Linked DNA regions of Caenorhabditis elegans. The protein of the gene in region 2 purifies or fractionates together with the protein of the main gene of each other region. This does not show direct contact. Each region holds a gene or a part of one and is shown on either strand. Other genes may lie near its edges.

The links. The genes of interacting proteins can lie anywhere in the genome.
Region 1: the proteins of cye-1 (region 2) and T06E6.10 fractionate together in Caenorhabditis elegans (co-fractionation; one large-scale study listed by BioGRID). This does not show direct contact.
Region 3: the proteins of cye-1 (region 2) and C08B6.10 fractionate together in Caenorhabditis elegans (co-fractionation; one large-scale study listed by BioGRID). This does not show direct contact.

The regions. Positions count from the first base shown.
Region 1 is NC_003283.11:15,415,245-15,421,386, reverse strand, and holds T06E6.10 (TIL domain-containing protein), read right to left. Parts: upstream 3,266-6,142; 5' UTR 3,234-3,265; coding exon 3,185-3,233; intron 3,135-3,184; coding exon 3,024-3,134; intron 2,976-3,023; coding exon 2,903-2,975; intron 2,765-2,902; coding exon 2,580-2,764; intron 2,473-2,579; coding exon 2,400-2,472; intron 2,356-2,399; coding exon 2,226-2,355; intron 2,183-2,225; coding exon 2,054-2,182; 3' UTR 1,986-2,053; downstream 1-1,985. Other genes in the region: srh-265 (Serpentine Receptor, class H), read right to left, coding at 3,771-4,052, 4,100-4,330, 4,587-4,771, 4,830-5,136; srh-264 (Serpentine Receptor, class H), read right to left, coding at 6,038-6,142.
Region 2 is NC_003279.8:6,777,382-6,786,233, reverse strand, and holds cye-1 (G1/S-specific cyclin-E), read right to left. Parts: upstream 5,429-8,852; 5' UTR 5,414-5,428; coding exon 5,337-5,413; intron 5,248-5,336; coding exon 5,103-5,247; intron 4,432-5,102; exon of another isoform or gene 4,360-4,431; intron 4,244-4,359; coding exon 4,165-4,243; intron 4,122-4,164; coding exon 3,849-4,121; intron 3,715-3,848; coding exon 3,326-3,714; intron 3,067-3,325; coding exon 2,893-3,066; intron 2,852-2,892; coding exon 2,480-2,851; intron 2,420-2,479; coding exon 2,354-2,419; 3' UTR 1,838-2,353; downstream 1-1,837. Other genes in the region: acdh-5 (medium-chain acyl-CoA dehydrogenase), read right to left, coding at 1-302, 350-484, 816-1,133, 1,308-1,326; pqn-21 (C2H2-type domain-containing protein), read left to right, coding at 6,328-6,466, 6,587-6,796, 7,223-7,426, 7,480-7,718, 8,432-8,730, 8,852-8,852. UniProt on the Caenorhabditis elegans protein: Essential for the control of the cell cycle at the G1/S (start) transition. In association with cdk-2, regulates proliferation, quiescent state and cell fate during the development of several cell lineages.
Region 3 is NC_003283.11:10,122,160-10,129,555, reverse strand, and holds C08B6.10 (Proline-rich proteoglycan 2-like), read right to left. Parts: upstream 4,059-7,396; 5' UTR 4,030-4,058; coding exon 3,965-4,029; intron 2,435-3,964; coding exon 2,077-2,434; 3' UTR 1,986-2,076; downstream 1-1,985. Other genes in the region: SUMO-activating enzyme subunit aos-1, read left to right, coding at 1-292, 1,714-1,876; C08B6.6 (uncharacterized protein), read right to left, coding at 4,867-4,943, 5,161-5,314, 5,362-5,514, 5,559-5,620, 5,663-5,813, 5,859-5,918; srxa-19 (G_PROTEIN_RECEP_F1_2 domain-containing protein), read left to right, coding at 6,786-6,879, 7,098-7,396.

The sequences.
Region 1 (6,142 bases), on a different chromosome or scaffold from region 2:
ATAAGGTTTATTTGCAGAGAGCAGAATTATTGTGCAAACACATCCACGCGATGCCACAAAAATGAATATGAAGTTGTTTGCAATGGGGTTGTAATAACTTGTAAAGCAAGAATACAGTATGTATACGTAGGGAATGAGACAAGTCAGGAAAAATGCGCCGCTCTAAACATTTTTAAACAATATGTTCATCCATACTAGGATAAGAATACCTGTGCATAAAGAGCCAATAAAAATTTCAACTGAAGCTGCATTGTTTGCCGTGACTGTGTAGATTTCTTCATTGATGTTCTCACATTCCAATCAGTTATCATAATCATGGGAATAAGTTCAGCAAGTCCTAAAACGGTGATAAAAACAAAAGATCCCAGAAATAATGGATAATCTGTCGCCCAGATGAAAAAATCCATGGAACGAATTTTGACTGGAAGATTTGGAACTTTCTGAAATTCAGACTACTTACAGTTTTGTGTCTGCCACTTTTGTACTAAAATTTAGTGGTAAAAAATCTTTACGGGTAAAGTTGCAATAGTTTGTTAAAGGTTGAGTAGCGCCAGTGGGGAAATTGTTAAAACCCACTTCATTGGTCCCAAAATGACCAAATATCATGATAAAACTTTTCAAAAAATTTTGAAAATTTTTTATTTACTGTCAAAAAGTGGCAATTACTCAGTTTTTGCCACTCATAATTTTGGAAGTTGACCAAAAAAAAATTTTCGACAGTTTTTATGTTTTTATTTTGTTTAAATTATTTGTATTAAAACATTGTAGTTGTCGAAACATGCGGCATTTCTTAAAATTTCCTCAAAAACTCGTATTTTCCAAAATTTTGTCAATTTGCCAAAACTTTAACCGGAAATTATGGAAAATCTAAAATTTTTTCAGTTTTTTATTATGATAGTCAATTGTTTTGGATCATTATAAGTGCATTTAGACAAAATCCCCACTGACGCTACTCCACCTTTAAGACATATTTTAAAATAAAAACAATAACCTTGAATGCTAAGTCAATTGCTTGTAACTGATCAGGAGTATTCAAAAACGTGGGTAGCATAAACGTTCCAACGAAGGTGTAATTGAAAATCATCATCGGTATTCGAAAGTGACGCCAAGCCTTATTTTTGCCAAAAAACTGGTAATAACGGTTTTCGAAGATCAACAGATCGGAGTACAACACAGCTGAAAATAGACAAAAACATATTTTCAACTTTCAAAACTGTACATTTTTGAACACTAACATTGAATTAAACATAATTAATGTCATACCGAATAAAAGTGTAAACACCAAATACGCCTGAATGCCAATTGGAACTCCGAATAATGTCGTTAAAAAGCCTAAAGGGACTGCTCCGAGAACTGGGAACACTAGAAATGGAATGGTTAATGCAGTAAGTGATATATCAAATAGGATAGACCAAATATGAGCATTGAATAGAACCCATTTTACCGATTTCATTGCTTGTGGAGTTTTGAATAGAATACAATAAAGTCCAAATACTTGAAGAGGTCACGTAAAAGCGCCCATACTGTGTAGAGTATAGAAAAGAAAGTCCGGGCTTTCCATAAACATAATTTTTCAATATAATATGAAGGAGATTAATTTTCATACAACTTGAGTTGAATTTCACCTGAGCTTCAGAGGCGTACCTCGTTTTGGTGGTTAAAGTATTGCGACAGATGTTTCCGTGCACCGAGAAACAGAAATCATAATGTTTCAAGATCACGTACCGTTTTTGGAATCCTGGAATTATAGGAGGACTAATGGTTCGGAGGAAATTTGAACGTATAGACTCGGCCATTAGATCATTTTTAAAAAATATTGAGAAGTCTCAATTCAAAATTCGCCAATTTGAGCACATTGGAGTTTATACGTTCAAAATCGTCCTCTTTTATGGCATTTTCTTAACGAAACTGGCAAAGTCAAACACAATGATTACTTGAGCCTTGAAGGTTTACAGAAAACAACATCTGAAAATCCATTTGGCAACTTTAGAAAAAATTGGGCAGTTTATTATAGTTTCAGCAAAATATTTGGAAATAAAAAAGTTCTTTCTAGTTACGATTTAATACTTTTCCTCTTCTGCTCATCACACTCTTCCTGGGTAACACATTTGTCATGTTTATCGCGGAAAAATCCATTCAGACAGACGCATCCGGGAAAAGTGCACACCGCTGGGCACATTTTCTGCAAAAATTGTTTTTCTCGAATTTTTCATTGATCCACGTACCCGTTTTTCATTGCACTTGGTGTCAGAGCAAATATTTTTGCACCCAACAAAATGCTCATTCGGACCGCATCCTGGATTGAATGGCTCCGATAAAAAGTTAAGTGGAGTCTCGCATTTTGCTACTGGGTCACTGGAACATGAACAATAAAAACAATTTTAAAAAAAAGTACCTACCAGGGTGTGGTAAAGCATTGAACAGTGTGAAGAGCACACTTCTTGCCGGGTGAACATTTTGTGGTTGTACAAGCTGGAAATTCAGAAATACGCCACCGACACATTGAGGGTAGAAGCTGGCACCTAAGAAGTTGCGACCGACTTATTAAGTGCAGCAGCTGAAATCTTCCAAGCACTCACCATTTACATGAATACAAGTCGGTTTAAGCTCGCATCCGGTCATTGTAGGCGAATCCATACATCCACTTGGCCTAACCATCGCACATCCGGCTGGCGTGTCACATCGAACATCTTTACAACTTGTTCCCACTTGACGACGCTTGCGGATTTGTGTTTTTTTCGGACGACATTCAGCGATTGGGTAGCTAAAACTCATTGATTTTCGGATCATTTGAAAATTAGTTTTAAAAAATGGAGAATTTGTTATTTTATCCCTCGCAGCCGACATCTTACCGGTCATTTTTAAAAATCACTAAAAATAGTTTCGTTTAAAAAATTCCCACCATGGCGCCATAATACAGGTTACTTGGACCAATACACATTCCTCTGTTGGAGCACAGCTTTTGGTATTGCAATCTGAAATTTTTGAATTTAAAATACGTTTTTTTTCTCCGAACCGCTTACCATTCTTTTCCAAGCACTCTGGTCCTGGCTCACAGTCCGGGCAACTAGCAACCATTCCACAGCCTCCAGGGCTTCCACATCTAACATTGGCGCAAGTTATTCCAGTTTTTCCTGAAAAAAGGTTGTATGTCAGTTGCAGGCACATTTTTCAAAACTCTCACCTGTACTTGCTCCCATGATCAAAGAGCTCAGAAGTATCAACAAAATCATGGCTAGTAGCACCAGAATCACCTAAAAAATTGAATTGTATTAAGTTTTTATAAATTTTATGGTATTTTTTAAAAACGATTCTATAAAACATTTTTTAATAGTTTATAACAAATGAATTCAAATATATATTTTTATATTAAAAAAAAAGATTAGGCGTACACTATGTCGCCCGTTTACTGATGAAGGTAACAAATCACAAGTCAGAAACATCACTCGTTGAAGAAGAAATATCTGTCTCTCTCTCTAAGCCTGCTTGTAATGAAAAAAAATTGGCTGAACAAAGTTCAAGAAGGTCAGTTGGGCTATGTGAAAAAAAAGAAGAAAATTAAAACGTTTATTGAAGACAACTGTCGTGTCTGTGTGTAATATTGAATCAATTGATAACAAATTAACATATTAGAAGTTTCATGAGCCACAATTCAAACTGAAAATTAGGCTGGACCGGAAAAATGTTTTCATGTAGATTTTCAATGTGATTTATAGTGGTACAATGTATACTGGCAACATTTTTTTGCTAGCTTTTTAGAATACAATATATCAAAACAAAGAAGTATTTTGATTAGATATAATTATTCCTATTGGATTCACAATTGGCTGAGTTTTGAAACAACCGATCGAGGAGCTAATTAACCGGAAGATATTGACTACTGCTTTCTTATAAGGCTTATATGCCGAGAGCAGAATTACCGTGCAGAACGATCCACGTGCTGCCACAAAAATGAAAATAAAATTGTTGGCAATGGGATTGTAGTAGTTTGTGAAACAAGAATACAACATATATACGTATGGAGTAAAACAAGTCAAGAAAAATGCCCCGCTCTGAATTTATTATTTCAACTTTGGTGAGAGTTTTTTTTTTGGCTCACCTGTGCATATAAAGCCATTAAGAACTTCAACTGAAGTTGCATTGTTTGCCGTGACTGCGTTGATTTCTTGATTGACGATCTCACATTCCAATCAGTTATTAAAATCAAAGGAACAAATTCCGTAAGTTGAAATGCTGTGATGAAGATGAAAGATCCCAGAAAAAGTTTGAAATCTGTTGCCCATATGAAAAAGTTCATGGATCTGAGTTCAACGGGAAGGTTCGGAACTTGCTGAAATATACTGTTCATAATTTGGCTAAAATGCATGTTTATACTTATTTCAATTATGATAACTTAACATAAACATATGCCAAATTTACCCGGCACATTGTCAGCTATCTCTCACCTAGAAAGTTTTAAGTTTGTTCTAACTGGTGGCGTTAGTGACGGCGTAAAGCCGATGATGGAACTCGAAGGCAGGCGGAAGCGCCTCGTCGGAGCATATATAGAAAGCCTAGTTCAGCTACTACTACAAATAAACGGTCACCTTGAAAGCTAAATCAATAGCTTGTAACTGATCAGGAGTATTCAAAAACGTCGGAAGCATGAAAATTCCAACGGCACCATAATTAATGATAATGAATGGAACGCGAAAGTGCCGCCAACTTTTGTTTTTTGCAAATAATTGATAGTAGCGATTTTCGAAGATCAGCATGTCTGAGAACAAGACCGCTGAAAGTTGAGATTAATTTGATTAAAAAGTGGAGTTTGAAAATGAGTGGCGTCATACTGAATAGAAGTGTGAACACCAAATATGCCTGAATATCAATTGGAACTCCGAATAATGTCGTTAGAAAACCTAGTGGAACTGTTCCGAGAACTGGAAAAACTAGAAATGTGATGGTTAGTGCAGTAACTGTTATATCGAAGATAAGGGACCAAATATGAGAATTCAAAAGTACCCATTTGACAGAATTCATTGTTTGTGGTGTTTTGAATAGAATGCAATAAAGACCGAGTATTTGGAGAGGGCAAGTGACAGCTCCCATTCCATGTAGAGAATAAAATAAGAAATCCGGACTTTCCATAAACATCATTTTTGAATCAAAAAGTAGAATGGGATCAATAAGACTTTTAAGTTTCACCTGAGCTTTTAAGGAGTATTTTATATTGAAGTTTCGACAGGTGTTTTCTAACACCCAGAAACAAAAATCACAGTTTCGTACAAAATATGGCATTACTTTTTTGGAATCTAACAAATCTAGCAAAACTTATTTATTATAACGCTCGTGTGTGCTTTATTTTTAGTTAATATACTGAACATTTTCAAAAAAATTATTCATGAACTAATTGTTTCATATACATAAATAGTATCAAAACCATCACGGAATTTCCCAGTTCAGCTGCCAATGAACATTTATTTCAAATTCTAAAAAAATGAGTTTTTCAACACCAAACACTCAGTTTTCATAAGTTTAAAAATTAATAGCTGACTTAAAATTAACTTTTTTGAAAATGTTTCTCCGGGGGTTTGTTTCAAATTTTAAGCGCTTTCATAATTTTATTGCAAAATTTTTCTAGGTGCCAGAAGCTTACTATTAGAGTTCAATCAAAAAACTGACCTTCAGGCATATAAATGACCACATTTTTTTATTGGGAGATTTATTCAGTTTTCATGAGTTCAAAAATTAATATCTGACAACTTTAAAAATTTACTCTTTCATGTCTGAACAATATCATAAACACAAAAAATTGATACTCATCGTTCAGAATTTGACGGAAATTCCAGTTTTATTTGAGCTGCCAATGAAAATGTATGGTATTCCGAATTCCGAAAAAAAAAGATTTTCTTCAAAACCAGAGCATTGCTATTTCCAATGCTGCGAAAAAAAAACAGAACGAAAGAAAATCTTGTCAAAGGATCAAATTAAAATCTATTAAATTCATTTTAAACAAAATTTTAAAAAAAGTTCAGACTCAGTATTTATAAGTTTATCATCAAAAAGATGTGTTCTGATTAGTTATGAAAATTCCAGTTTGATTCGCAACTTTTTTCTTTTTCAAGCAACCGAGCGAGGTACCAAGTAACTGAAATTTATTGAC
Region 2 (8,852 bases):
CTTATCCAGTGGAGTTGATCTATGAACTCCAACAGCATCCAATGGAACACAAACCAACGATTTATTCTTATGAACATTCGATGTATTTGATGTGTTCACAAGAACACACGCCCAATCCGCCTGACCACCATTTGTAATCCACATTTTCGAACCATTGATTATCAAGTCAGATCCTTGACGACGTGCGTGTGTGTGCACAGCTGATACATCGGATCCAGCATGTGGTTCAGATACAGCCAATGAACTGACAAGATCTCCAGTGATTGATGGACGAAGGAATCTTTCGCGAAGAGCATCAGAACCTAATATTCAATTATTTCTAATTTTGGTGGTAAACGGAAATACTCACCAAACTGTGCAAGTGCAGGTGTACTCATATCAGTCTGAACCATAACTGACATTGGAATTGATCCACAATTAATTGCTCCCATCTGCTCAGCAATTGCTGTTGCCATTGCAATATCCGTTCCAGTTCCACCAAATGCTAAAAATCGTTGGTAAAAATGAGAAATAACACACCGTATTAATTCTATTATTCTTGCAGTTTTTTGTATCTTTAAGGTTTTCCTCCCACCAGTACTATCTTTTTAACATTTTAGAATGATGTAGTTTTACAGGCTCTTGACATTTTTAGAACCCAAAAAGTTGGTGTTCTGATATTCTAATTGTAACCTGGAAGTTATTCTTCCAAGTTCTGAAATCTACGCTTTTGGTTTTTTGTGGTAACACTTTTTCGTTTTGAAAAGTCCAATCAAATAATAATATTGCATGGATAACTAATTAATAAAACAAGTTAGCTAAAAAAAGCGTATTACCTTCTGGTTTATTAACACCAAAAACACCATGATCTCCAAGCATTTTGAATACCAAATGTGCTGGATACCGCCCGTCTTGTTCCCATTTTGCCACATTTGGATTGATTTTTTCTTCGATAAGTTTTCCCAAACTCTTCTGCATGACAAAATGAGTTTCATCATAAATCATATGTTCCCTGGCTACTGGCTTTTCCGATTTCGGAGATGTTGATGTCACAGCAACTGAGACAGAACGTCTCTGATTACCAAGATTCGAACTTCTGAACTTGTTCAAGTTATTTGCAGCTGCTCCCAAAGCCGCATTATTTTTGAGTTTTGCTGAAAATTTGCTCAATTAGACCTCATTCTCCAAAACTAGAAAAGCTTCATCAGTCTGAGCCGCCGTGTGTGCATAGTTCCCTATTTACGCATTTTCATCAATTGATTGAATAGACATAGAGCTTTCGATATCAGAATAAATTCCACCAAAACCAGAAATTCACTCAAACTTACTTAACAAAGCTTGAAACATCACGGCAAGAAACTACGAAGATGAGTAGTGTTTTAGCCAAGAAACTAAATAATGATTCATTTTTTGATAAGAAACCCTGAACAAATTTTAACAAAAAAAGAAGATTAAACATTAATTAGAAATTCACGCAAACTTTTTTTTGATAAATTTTATGCTCTTTGGAATTTCATTTACAGTGTCTACAACTCTGCAATACACCTACAGTACCCCTACCGTACCACTTAATATAAATAAGCCAAAATCTTAAAGTAATTCTACAGTATTCCTGAGATGATAATTCATTTTAATTTATTGGAATATATTAATTTTTCATCAAATAAGTAAAAAAAAATATTGGAATGATGTCCTTAATTTTTTGCGGAGTAATTTCTGCTTTTTTTCCGAAAATTTTTCAGTGTTAAGAAATTTGGAGAAGGCATTTTGTTTCAACTCACGTAAATACTGTGCTTTTATAGTTTCTTAATTTTAAAATTTGAATGATCGTATTGTTGAAGCTAACAGAAACCCGCATACTCGTTAAAAATTGTATTTCGTATAAACAAACAGACAAAGACGAGTTGGGAGCGGGGTGGGGCAGAGGATATGTACCAGTTACAGTACCTGTTAAAAAAGTTTAGGGAGAAAGAAGCCTATTTCAAAATTTCCAGTTTTATGATACAATAAAAAAACCTAAAACATAAAATAAGCACAAAGTAAGAAGGGGAAGTGAGATGAGTAAAACAAAACATTAATAAGTTAATTGTAAAAGGGGTTTAAACACATTACAAAAACATCAAAATTCGGTAAAATAAAACGGAAATGCATCTTTCGATTTTCGGAATTTGAATATTTTTGTAATATGGGATCACTTGTTAAGTGAAGTTTTTGATATTTTCCGGGGTGCAATCATATTGAAATGGCACAGACTAGGTGAAAGAGAGAAAGAGATTGAAGGAAAGAATTAACGGGGACAACCTGTGTGCATGATTATTTGAAGTAAGTAATCTACAGAAATTTCGATGATAAAAGAATCCTATTGCGGGTTATTTTAGAAAAGTCGTTGCGGATGAAGACGGCGAGCTTTTAAATGCTGAATCCTCTCTCGTTCGCTTTTCTGGAAAAATAAAAATTATGAAAACAACCTCTAATTCATGAATTTTATATATCCACCTACCACAATAGGTTCCATTGAACTCCTTTTAACGTATACTTGAATATTGTGTGAATCATCCGATTTTATTGATTCATGTTTTGGAATAACATCGTCAAGAAGTTGTCGTTGTTTGGCGAACGCCCGGCACACCGGTTCAACATATTCAATAACTTTTTCAAGTTGAGCCTGCATAAATCCGGTAGCCTTCTCAACAGCACAAGTTGGCTCATAGTTGACAAAAAGAACAGCAGCAGCGATGGTACGATAGGAGAAAGTAAATGAGTCGATCTCAAATAGCAGAAAATCGAGAATTTTACACATTTCAAGATATTCTGAACGGAGTAATTCTGGCACGTACATGTTTTGCTCTTCGTAGTGATCAGACTTGTTCTTCTGAAAAAATATTTTAATCAACAAAAAATTTAAAATCCTACTTTGCCGGTTCCGAGTAATTGAAGATATGTTGAGAGCCATTGAATACTTGTGATTGGCCCAAGACTCCACCCAATATACTTGACGATAAGAACTTCCATAGTTCGAATATTATCACAGGTGAATGCACTATCGGTGAGATGAGCAAAATCGATGCACTTAGGTGGATAAATTTCCTGAAAAAAAAAACAAAAATTAATGTGAATCTATACTGTGAAAAAATTAATTGAACCCAAATTCTAGATCGGTGAAATATTTTATTAAAATTATTACCAGGCTTGCCGGTTTTTTTGGATTTTTGAAAAAGGGTGTAAATCGTAATATAAATATTTAATTCCGTTTGAGAACTATCGATTTTGAAGTGTTTTAGAATTTTTTTCGGTTTTGCTAAAAAAAAAAAACGAAAAATGTGTCAGTGAAACCCCTGATTGTTACCTCGTATTTAGCAGCTATAAATAGAGCAGCCGTCCCGACCAATTGAAAATTATCCGTTGAACATTCAACATTTGATGACTCTAAATATCTATCAACATAATCAACAGCCAAATGAAATGTTTCTCGGTGCAATTTTTCTGATTCACACACTTCCATCATCCAATCAATTAAAATACGTCGCTTTTCATCATCCATATCCGGATGATTTCCAAGCAAGAATCGTGTAGCACGTGGAATTTCGTCTCGTTTGACCATAAGAGACCAAACTTTTGTTGGTGATCCTATTCCATCGCATTTTGCTGTGCTGAGAAACGTTGGAGCCGTAACCATATGTTCGTCGTTCATGAGCCGTTTTGTAACGGCAAATCCTTCGTTTTGGACAGGATAATCTAAATTGTATCAAAATTGGGTAGGTTTTTCAGCTTGAAACACTGATACTCTCTTTGGAGACACTATTTTTTATCAAATTTTGATCTAAAATGCTAATAATTTCAAACGCATCATGAGTATTTTTGAAACTAACCATCTTCATCTTCAGATTCAATTTCTTCGTACTCCTCTTTATCGTTAACAACATCCTCCTCTTCATCATCAAAATCATCCTCAATTTCTTCTTCAATATCCTGTCTCTCTTCCAATCGGACCATCTCATGACTTTCTTCAGATTCGGCAAGATTATCAGATGAAGATGATTTATCAAACACTTCTTCTTCCTCAGGCATAGCTGGAAGTGGTTGTCCACGGGTTCTTGATGATTGTGATGATGAAGATCCAACTTCACGATCATCTGAATATTCTTCAAACAGAATATCATTTTTACTCTAATAAAACTAGATTACCACTAATATACTCCAAAGAATCTTCGCGGCTACCATTTCGATGCTTCTCGCCCGAATGACGTTTTGCAGCTGGACCTTCCTGTAAAATTAATAAATTATCAAACAAGATTGAACCACTATATAATTTTGTTCAAATTTAGGAAACTTATTTGATCGTCATGATTCTAAGCAGAAGCCAAAATGCAAAAAGTATTTAGGGGGCACCCGGAGTTGAACCAGGGACCTCTCGATCTGCAGTCGAATGCTCTGCCACTGAGCTATACCCCCAGATGAACAGTGAGACTCAGACGGCAAACAAGTATTGGACATACAAAGCGGACACAAAACTGTGTTCTGCATACGAAAGAGACTGGTCACTATGACTATCGATGTCTGCGTCTTATTTTCTCGCAAATCTGAGGTGCTGGTGTGAACATGAGATGAGAGAAGAAAAAAGAAAACGGGAGAATGAGTACATTTTGGCGCACTATTACACTGGTCAAATACAAAGTGTCTGTTTCTCAGTGCAAACTTTGTTTGCAAATTATTTAACGAGAGATGTTTCCTGTAGAACCCAGACTACTCAATATTGAGCGTTTGACTGTTAGTTAGTTACCCACGAAATTCAATTAATTTGTTAGACATTGTGTTTCTGGATGAATGCTGTTACCTAAATAAGTTAAATTCAAAACTGAAAATATAGCAAAATGTGTTTAAATCTAGAAATATTTGCTAATTTTGTTGGCAAATTAAAATGTATTCCTTACCCCCATTCAGCTTAGTAACAATCCGCAATCGTTTGACAGTTTTTCTTACGGTTTTCGAAAAATTAGAAGCAAAAATCTCTTTAGGCATTTGTACAAGTAGTAATATTATAATTTAAAAAAGTACTTTTCTTATCACTCTCTATTTCATTTCCCTTGTTCCATCTTAAAATGTTCACTGATAAGCACACAAACCTTAGTACTTCGTCGTTTTCTTGTCTCAGAACAATCTGATTTCTGACTTCCAACGCTCGAATTTCGGGTATTTCGTTGTGGAATATTTTCCTTCATATCAATTGCAGTCTCCAGAAGACGTTCACGCAGTTCGTCATGTGGAGATCTGAAAATTAAAATTTTTCGAAAGATGAATAAATATTTATAAAGTCTAAAAATTATCAGTTCTCTAATATCCATCTAAATTCAACTTACAAAATAGCAGATTTTCTTTCTGGCTTTTGTGTAGTGGGGACACGTTCAGCCGTCCTTGATGACTTTCTTCCAGCCATTTTGATCAAATTTCCCTGAAAATATCAAGTCGAGCTATTCAAAATATTCAAAAACAAATAAATAGGAAGATAACGACTGAAACTGGCTCAAATAACAAATGTTGTGCAGTTTTGAGTGTACACAATAGGGAGAACATAAACTATCAGTCAGAGGTGAAGAAGAATAAGATTTTAAATTCATAAAATCAGATAAGATTTGGTACAAGTGAATGAAGGTCGTTTTGGTTTTAGATTTAGATTTGCAGTTATTCCATTAAAAATTATTTAAGATTTGAATTAGGTGTGAATTTAAAATATAAACTGAGCTCATGAAACTGTTCATGTTTGCACGATACTTTCTATGCTTGAAATTTAGAGATTGATATCTGATATTTAATGAAAATTAATAAAGAAATATCAATTATACCATAACGAATGTCTAGTGGACATTACGCAATCAATCTGTGAAAGTTCAGATAAAACCGAAAAAGGTCAACTACAGACAACCTCCGTCATATGGTCTCTAGATTCAAATCGCGCGCTCATTTCGCGCGTTCCCTCCGATTTGCCGCCGTCCTCCCTGATGGTCTTACCACGATCTCATGTTTCTCTGCCGTCTCCAGAGAGATGAGAGGGTGCCTCTTGACACAGAGACGCAGGCAATCGACACGTACCAATAGAGGGCACAGCAACTGCCTCCGGAGATGTCAGACAATTGAGAGAATGAAGAAAAAACATCCGAAACACATCTTGCAGTTGTTTTTGTTTTGTTTTCATAAGCTACCAAATAAGGATAACGTTTTTCAAGTATCAAAACCTTCAAAACTATATCTATTATTTTTAAAATTTCTCTCATTTCAAATTGTATTTTAAAAATTTGATTATTGCTTTAATTAAATCTTTTGTAAAATTTTAATTTTCAAATTTTCAGCAACATGTCAGACGATGAGGACGAGGGTCGTCTACAGATCGATGAAAGTCCGTCCGATTCGGAAGACAAACCATCGATTTCAGCGCCCCCACCTCTTCCTCCACCGTTGCAGGAAACCCCCGAATTTCAAACAACTTATGACGGTACGTTATTTGTTTCAATGATTAACAAAAACTTCTAAATAATTTTTTGAAATTTCGTTTGAAATTTTTTTTAAGAAAAAAAAAATATTTCTCGTAAATCTTGAAAATTATTGCATTTAGCTCACGATCAAGCGGAAACTTCTGGAAAAGAAGACGGCGAGTTAGATGAGGATGATGAGAATGATGATATTGAACCAATGGAAATTGATGAAGAAATACAACTAGAAATTGATGAAAAACCAGAAGATCTTGTCAAAGACGAACAAATATCCGAGCCTACTGATAAAATGCGAGAAGAATTTTTAAAAGTGGAAAAAACAGATGAAAATGGTATGAAAATGGTAAACGGAAAAGCAATGAATAAGAATGAAAGATTGCGAAAAAAAAGCAATTTATTTCAAACAAAAATTTTTGGGATCAGTGTGAACACCGCCACGCGTAAATGCACGAAAGTCGCATCTACCGTAGCTGCTCAAATAATTTCAAAACTTTCGAGAGATCCTCTAGGGAAATGGAAATTCAGGCTATTAAAAACAAAATAGATAAGCGAAGGCACTAAAAATTAAAAATTAACAATTAAATTGCTTAGATAGTCTACTGCAAATAGCTCTCTTCATTAACATTTAAAAAAAAATTATGAGCGCAATATAAGAAGAATGTTCGAAATTTTAACAGAGAGTCCAAGAAAAGTAAATATACTCATAAAAACTTGATAAAAAATATTTATTGAAGAAAAAACACGGTTTATTTTTCCAGCTGTCGTTGAGTCAACATCATCATTCTCTCCGAAGTTAATCGATGAACAAGATTTAAAAGTTGAAGAGATGTCAGATGAGAAACATGCTCAATCGCCTGTTTCATCCGATATGACAACATCAAAAAGTCCAACACCTTCCAAAAAGGAAAATGGACTGATGAAACCACCACAGAGCACAGAAAAAGCTCAAAGAAAGCGTAAAGGTTTGTATCTTCGTAGTTAAAGAGCTTTTTTTGAAATTTAAATATTATTTCAGAGTCCACAGATATTTTTTCGAGTGAAAAACGCAAGTTAAGCCTTGAAACAGTTGCCTCTTCATCATCATCATCTGGATCTTCAAACCTTTCAACAACTCCACAAAGATCCAAAAGATCTAGTTCTCATATGGCTACCATTGCTATATCAGCATGTTTCACTGACGAAGACATAGTTTCAGTACCAATGATGCCTATTCAGAAGACACCTGATACTGCACCACATTCGAAACGGGCAAAAGTAAGAAAAATTAAATCAATTCTGAAAATTGTAAAAAATAGATTTTGCTTCATCACCACAGACGCGAAATATTGCGATTTTTGCACCAGAAATACGGTACCCGGTCTCGACACGACAATGTTATTAAATACAACAACGTGTGCGCCTTTAAAGAGTACTGTAATTAAGAACTCATTGCTGCAAAATTTTCATCGATTTTTCCTAGTTTTCGATAAAAATATATTTATTTATTAATAACAAAATTTTAAAAAACAATTAAAAACACATACATTTCAACACAAATTGTGAGAAAAATCGATGAAAATTCAACAACAACGAAATTTCTAAAGTACAGTACTCTTTAAAGGCACACACATGCTTGTAATTAACAAAAAATTGTCACGTCGAGACCGGGTACCATATATTAGAGCAACAAAAGCAAAATTGCGCCTGTAAGTCTGAAATTCCGAAAAACCACAAATGAAAAGTAAATATTAAGTGAAAAAGTTGAAATTCTACTTTCAAAACGTTTTTCTTTAAGTTTTAGTAAGTGTTTTGAATTTGCTCCAAAGTGTGAGTTGCAAGACCAATAATCGACGGAATGAACGTAGTTCGAAGACGATTTTTCGTTTGTGGGCGTGGCTTATCATTTTGCAGGGAATTCAAATAGACGAATCAATACTTTAAAAAACGAAAAATTATACATTTCATTATTTTTATATTCAACTTTTCAGCGAGATATCGGAACAAATGTGATCACAACACGATCAACAGATACATCTGGTCTTTTATGCAATGAAGCAATAATGGATACCCCACCAGGATCCCAGATGACTCTTGAGGTTACTGTTATGTACCGAACAAAGAATTCATTAGCATTCCGTGTAAAAGGATGTGATCTTATTGGATTTATTGGTGATGGTCTACCTCCAATGGCATCTTCATTGACAAACAATATTGCATCATCAATGGGTAACAATAACAATAAAAAGAAAACTGCAAGTAGTTCTGGAAATGAAGAAGGAAAAGATGGGTGAGTTGGTATAATTAATGACATATAGTGAAATTAATGCTGATAAAGTTTATTCACTACAAATTCCTAAAGTCAATAGTTTGCATTTTGGCTAAAAATAAAAATAGTTAACATATTTCAGA
Region 3 (7,396 bases), on a different chromosome or scaffold from region 2:
GCACAGTGGTTACGGTAGATGAAGAATTCGTGCTTGAAACGTTTTCATATCCATCATTTGTCGAAACGCTCAACTCTGATTTCACGGCGAAGAAAATTGTGAGAAAGTGCAAACGGATCGTTCCAACATCATATTTCCTCGTGAAAAGTATGCTCCGCGCTTCCAGCGAAAATAAACTTACCGGAGTCACTGAAAACGATATTGAGAAATTAATTCCAATCTGGAACGAGGAGGTGGCCGCTGGAAATCATACCATCGATATGCAACCAGTTCAACCCGATCGATTTGATCAGTGAGTATTATTCGCACGAAAATTATAAAATGAATCAATAAAAAACATAGAATGTATTATCTTTTTAATTATTTAAAAAAACAAGTTAAAAATGTATCGTAATTTCAAAAAACGGTAGCATTCCGTCTTAAAGACGCACGGACTTATTCATGTGTCTCGATCAGGGCTCTGATCAAAAAACAAAAAATATGCAAAAAAGGTTTATGGTAGTTTTTTTTTTCAAATTTTCGCGTCTGCTTCCAATTTTTTTCTCGCACTTTTCAATGAAACTACTTCATTTTTAACGAATTTTGTCATTTTGTTTTTAACGCACAAATCAACTGTTTTTCATGAAATTTAAAGCAAAAAAAAATTTACTAAATATTAGGTCTCCAAATAAGTTCCGGGTCAAAAATCATAACTTTGTTCGCTGCGAATCGATTTTTATGAAACTGTGGGAATTTATGTTATCAACCATGATCTTTCATTTGCAAATAGTCACAAATTTTTTTTGGCCGTCCGAAGTGCCCTAACTCGGAGCCAATTTTTTCAGGCATTTTTCAGATCTCGCTTCTTTTCAGGTTTCAATTGAGGTTTGTGTGCGGATTTTGCTTAGTTTAATACACAATGTAAGAAAACAAGAAAAGTTTGGAAAAAAATCCCTCCAAAAAAAAAATTTTTGTCGAAAATTTTTGCTTTTTTATACAAAAATGATGTAACCATGTGTAAACTATTTTTACACATACAAAACATTTGAGTATGATATTTGGATCTCGAGAAATAATCCAAAAATTCGAAAAAGCTGTGTTTTCTGTTATTATTTCAGTGTGACGCACTAAATTGAAATGTTTTGTATGTGTAAAAATAGTTTACACATGGTTACATCATTTTTGTATAAAAAAGCAAAAATTTTCGACAAAAATTTTTTTTTTGGAGGGATTTTTTTCCAAACTTTTCTTGTTTTCTTACATTGTGTATTAAACTAAGCAAAATCCGCACACAAACCTCAATTGAAACCTGAAAAGAAGCGAGATCTGAAAAATGCCTGAAAAAATTGGCTCCGAGTTAGGGCACTTCGGACGGCCAAAAAATTTTGTGACTATTGCCAAATGAAAGATCATGGTTGATAACATAAATTCCCACAGTTTCATAAAAATCGATTCGCAGCGAACAAAGTTATGATTTTTGACCCGGAACTTATTTGGAGACCTAATATGTTCATTGAAAAATGTAATGAAGCCGCCGCAAAGATAAGAAAAGCTACCATTAACTTTGTTGTGCGCTGAGACCCATCTAAAAGAACTCCGTGCGCCTTTAAGAATGTATGTAAAAATCTTGTGAAATTACAATAATGCCATTTTAATGTTACGTCCAAAAATCGAAACTCTTGTTCTGCTGCCATTGCAAAAACTTGCAATATTTTCAAAATTGTAATTTTTCAGTTTGTTCGGACCAAACTTTGGACCAACAGCAGCATGTGTCGGTGGAGTAATTGGACAAGAAGCTATTAAATCAATTTCGGAAGGAAAGAATCCACTTCGCAATTTGTTCATCTATACCGGCTTCGAATCAACTGGTTTTATGTGCAATTTCCCACCAGTATAATTTATTGCTTTCATGGTTTTCTGTTGGCTTCTTTTCCGTTCTCAAATCTCAAATTTTCAATCTCATTTTTAATTTAATTTATCACTTTCATCAATTTAAAACTCAATCTCTCTGGTTATTCATTTTATTGTTAATTCTTGGTGTGAATATCGGTGTATGACCAATGGTTTATGAACAATGATATCATGTGTATACATTTCTCAAAGTCCTCTCCATCCGAATGGAGGAGGCGGCCCTGGTGGAGGCGGTCCCCAAGGTGGTGGCGGGCGTCGCCACCAAGGGCCCCGCATCCAAGGTGGACGATGGTGATGATGATGATGCCAACCATCAAAATCTGGTGGTGGAGGTCCTCTGTCTCTCCAATCAGGACGCCATTCTTCATCTGTTGACTGCTGTTGTTGATCCCAATTATTCTGTGGAGACTCTAGCTGCTGCTGGGGTTGCTGTATCTGTGGAGCCCATGTTGTTTGTATTACAGTTGGTTGCCGTCTAATTGGAGCAGCGGTTACCGGATTTGAAGGTGTAGGATTGGCTGGCGAAGGAATACCTGGTGGTCCTCTGAAATTATTTATTGGGACTTTGATAATGTTTTGTTTTTATATTATTTACCAGCCGTGGACCGCACCTCCGGCGCGGCCCCCGACTTCTGGAGCTGAAAACCAATTTTTCTGAAACTGCCGTAATCATACAGTACTCCTACCGTACCACCATTGTACCACTACAGTACCCCGACTATATCCCTACACTAACCCCAACTCACTATCCCTCCAGAAGCTAAAACTTCGCAGACTACAAAGACTACATAGACTACAAACTATGGACAAACGGAATACGCGCTTTATATATAGTAAATGATGATTTGTTAGCAATTTTTCAAAGTTTCAGTCGCTACGGAATTTAGAAAATGCTTATCATATACCGTGTTTCTTCTATTAATATGGCTGCAATACTATTTTTCGATGGACTTCCCGCTTGCAATACTAATAGGGAGTGCAAGACTATTAGGGAGTGCAATACTAATTTTCAGAACATTTTTCTGACTTTGAGCTTACTAGTTTTTTTTCTGAAAAAGCTCGAATCTTATGTAAAAATTCAGAAAATTTGACTTTAATTGTAACATATAAGTTCAAAAACTTCAATCTCGTAGAAATGTTGTGAAAAACTGTTGCAAAATAGGCAAATTTTTTTGTTGAAATCCTGAAGTTAACAAGACGGGCCTGCAATAAAAAATAGTAAACGCAAGGCTATTAGGGAGTGCAAGACTAATAGGGAGTGCCATACTAATTTTCGGAAGGTCTCCGAGGGGCAATACTAATAGGGAGTGCAAGTCTAATAGGGAGGCCATATTAATAGAAGATATACGGTATTCGTAAAAATGTTACTTTCAATACACACTTCAGTTTGTGTTTCTGATATCGCTACGATTTCCAAAAAATACATCATTACTTATAAATGAGGGAATTAATTGTATACTGAACTAAAAAGTGTTGGTTACCTCATTGAACCAATTTTTTCTCCGAAAAAAACCTATTTGCCAGATTTGAAAGTCTCATTTACCACTGATGGTATTGAGTAACAAGACACATAACAATTATATTTTTACTGTTTTATTATCAAGAAATACTCAATAAATTAAACGTTATTAATTTATCGATTTTTAAAACTTTTATGGGAACGCAAAAATCGGAAAATGCGTATTGCGCAACATATTTGACAATATCCCATAGCGAAAACTACAGTACTTCTTCAAAACTGTACCATAAATAACGCTTTTGTCAAATTATGGGCTCGATTTGTGTAATGAATTTCTTTTCGAAAAGGGACATCGATATTCCATTGTCCATAAATAGTTTCTTCGTATTATTTTCTCATTTTTTGCATGATTTCCCATATTCTATTGAGAGTAATGATTTATTTCAAAAATTTTTTAAAATTGAACTCGTAACATGAGCGTTACAGTAGCCATTTAAAGAATTACTGTAGTTTTCGCAACGAGATATATTACGCAATACACATTCACAGAATTTCGTGTTCTCGAAATAAAAAATTGAAAACATAATCAAACGAAAAGCAAAACAAAAAACTAACCTCTGTTCAGATTCACGAACACAAAAAATAAAAATCAATGCCAAAACACATTTTCGTTGAATCATTTTACCGTCTTCGTTTGTCCATTAGTTCTTGAGAATTGAAACGAAAAAAAAAATAGAAGAAAGAAAAGAGAAGCATTCTATTTGTGTGCCCTGCCCACCAAGTTCGATCATTAACCGAAGAAGAAGAAGACTAAGAATAACGAATGACATTGTAATTGGAATGTACAAATCAGAACGAGACAAAGAGAAAGAAAATAAGTTAATATGATGTGATTTGTGTGATTGGAGATGAAAAATAGAATAAACTTATATGAACTACAAAAGACGAAAGTTTCCTTAATTTTGTAGAATATAAAATTGATAGTGGGGATTTTACGGGACGTGTACTCTTGCAAAAACTGTTGACTGTGTATTTAAAAAAAACCAAAAATGTTTTTGAAACGTTTAAACATGTTTTTATGTTATTTTAGTAAATACCATGAAGTGGTTTTGAACAACTGTCGACACTCCACTTTTATAAGCCACGCTAATTTTCTAGGATAGTCTTATCGCGTTTTCGAGCCTCTTTAGTTTATGCCTTGCAAATTGATAATACACGTCACGATTTGAATGAGAGATAACAGATTCTTAAAAGTGCCCTTTGGCAGGTAACCTTATAGGAAGGCTAACGTTATCTGCCTTCTGGGAATACATATTCTCATGTACAAAACTGAAATGATAGATATTTCATTCATCAATGTAGTTTCGTTGCATTAATAATTAATATCATTTGTATATCAGAAAATCAAAACAAGATATTTATTCTATTCTCTTCAAATATTATGAAAAATGTCGTGTGAAAATAAAATCAGGTATAATAGTAAAAGTAACTAGATGAGAATTCGAAACACGTTCTATTCATACTTCGTATTCTCTTTCGGTCCACTCGTGTTCAATGTGTTTTGAAATAATATTATCTCGGTTTTGGAATTTGCCTGAAAATTTAAATATTTGAGGAAGGTTTTGAAATCCTAGTCATCAAGCCTAATTTCTATCATTGCCGAGCTTGTTTTCATTTTTTTCTAATTTGTATTCTATTCATTTAATTTTCAAAGATTTAGTTAATCATCTTAAACGGAAATTCCGCAATATATGACAGTCTGACAGTTCGTTCGTATTTTGTGTAAAGTAAATTACAAAATAAGAACACACCTGAGTTTTTTGTATTCATTGAAAACTGCTTATGACTCGGACATTCATAAATAGAATTAATAATAAACACGGATTCAAATTCCGAATTCACATTTTCTAATTTAATCGAACCAAGATGTTCCACGTATTCTAGATAGTATCCTGTTTCTTTTTCCTGAAATAGAATATCAAATAGTTATCGAATATTCACGACAATCTCACGGAAAGAAAAATGGCGATCCACTTATGACGTTCAAATTTATCAGATTTTTCGTTTTTAGCCACCACTTCCAGGACAACTCCTTCCCTTCTGTGAAGTGTATTTGTAGTATTACAACGACATAACACGTAAATTGGATTGTAGAATGTTTCAAACTAATTGTTTTCTGTTATAATAAAGATAAGTATTGCACATTTACCTGGAAATTATGGCCAAGTTCCCAGGCATCCACTAAAAATTTGGACAGCGAATTGTCTTCTTCTAAACATAGTTCTTATTAGTAGCATTCTCACTCATTCCTACCATCAATTCTAATACGACTAATAAGTAATTCTCGATCATTATCTTTCATGAAATTTAAAAAAGATATAAGTTTTCGTTGTTCCAAAGAATTCACATCTGTGTCGGATTCTTGAAAATCATAATACTTCGAGTTCAGGTCCTCTAGTGTTTTCTGAGAAAACTTATTTTGATTTCTAATTTGATGGAAAATACTTACCGATGTACTATTATAAAATAATAAATAGCTAATTATTAGAATAAAAGCAACTTTTGGCATTTTTAAAAAGCTTTCAAATAAAAATGAACAGATATCCTTTTAAGAACATTATAAGTTTACGTGAAAAATCCGCTAAGTTTTTTATCACATTTAATCTAGTACGCTTTAAATACTACTGATAGGTTAAAAGTAAGGATACACAAAATGGGTCATGAACTGCTTTTAAGCCAGCCTATGCCTGCGTCGTGCCTACTGCCAGAGCTCACTTGAACTTAATTTTTTTGGGTTATTATTTGAAATTGAAACAATATTATTAAAGAGAAAACATATAGAAAATGTGCACACCAAAATGTAGAGCTCACACAGCTCAATTGTCAGACGCATTCAATAAACAGGTAAGCTGACTTGCCACAGAAGCCTCAAATGAAATGTTGTAGAATACTGTTTCCAGGGGTTTCAAACATTTTTGATGTTTCAGTTAGTAAAGTTACGTTACATAATTTCTATTAATATTCAGTTCCTCGAGATTTTTGATAGAGGCTCGCAGCCAATGTTTCCTTTTGGATTGAATATTTTTCCTAGTAACATTCAATTATTCCGTTAACAAAAGCTGCAAAAAACTCATCATGTCTTGAAAAAAGAAAAAAAGACTTCATCTACCCAAAGCATATAAAAATGTGCATTTGCTCTTTCCTTTTCGAAAATACGCCTCTTCATCTGAATGATAGTTTCAAATGTTATGTAGCCGATAGCTGCAAGCTCCAGTTTTATAATTTTGACAACAATTATTGTATTATTTATAGGCAGCATGAGGATACAATGTAAATGAAGAATTGCACTTTCAGGTCATTTCAGTCAAAAACTACTCTGATCAGAGTGAGCTCTTCTGAGCATTTTCTAATTGAAAATCAAGTTCTTAAAGAATTCATGGATTGGATTAAGATATTGACATATGCCACTCATTTATTCAGTTATTCCTTCAATATTATTCTTTTATATGTAGTGGCTAAAAATAGTAAAGGTAATTCATTGTTTTATTTAATGCATTTACCGACAGTACGATATTGGAAATTTGATTAAAAAATAGAAAAATTAATAGAATACTGTGATTTTTGTTCTTCATTAAAGAAACCAAGTTTTAGATATATATGTTCTGCTCTTGTACTGCAGCAAAACTATATAAATTTTTAATAATTTGATCAAAAATGTTAACTATGTATGTATATGTTATTTCTTCAGTAATAAAAACTAAAGGTTACATAACTCATATGATCTGGGTTGAACTGGTTCTGAACTTCTGCCAACATTTTTCGGTCGAGTATGTTCTTGAAGCAGAAGATGAATCATCTCTTCATTTTCTCGAATCAGTCTGTGTTTTATTTATGACTCTTCAAATGTGGACAGTCAACACAATTCGATATATTATGACATTTTTAATGGCTGCCAATCGATTCGTGTGCATTATAAATCCCAGATTCAGTAAATTTTTCGACTCTGAAACTGTTACATTCTTTGGAGTTGGTATTTGGATACTGGCA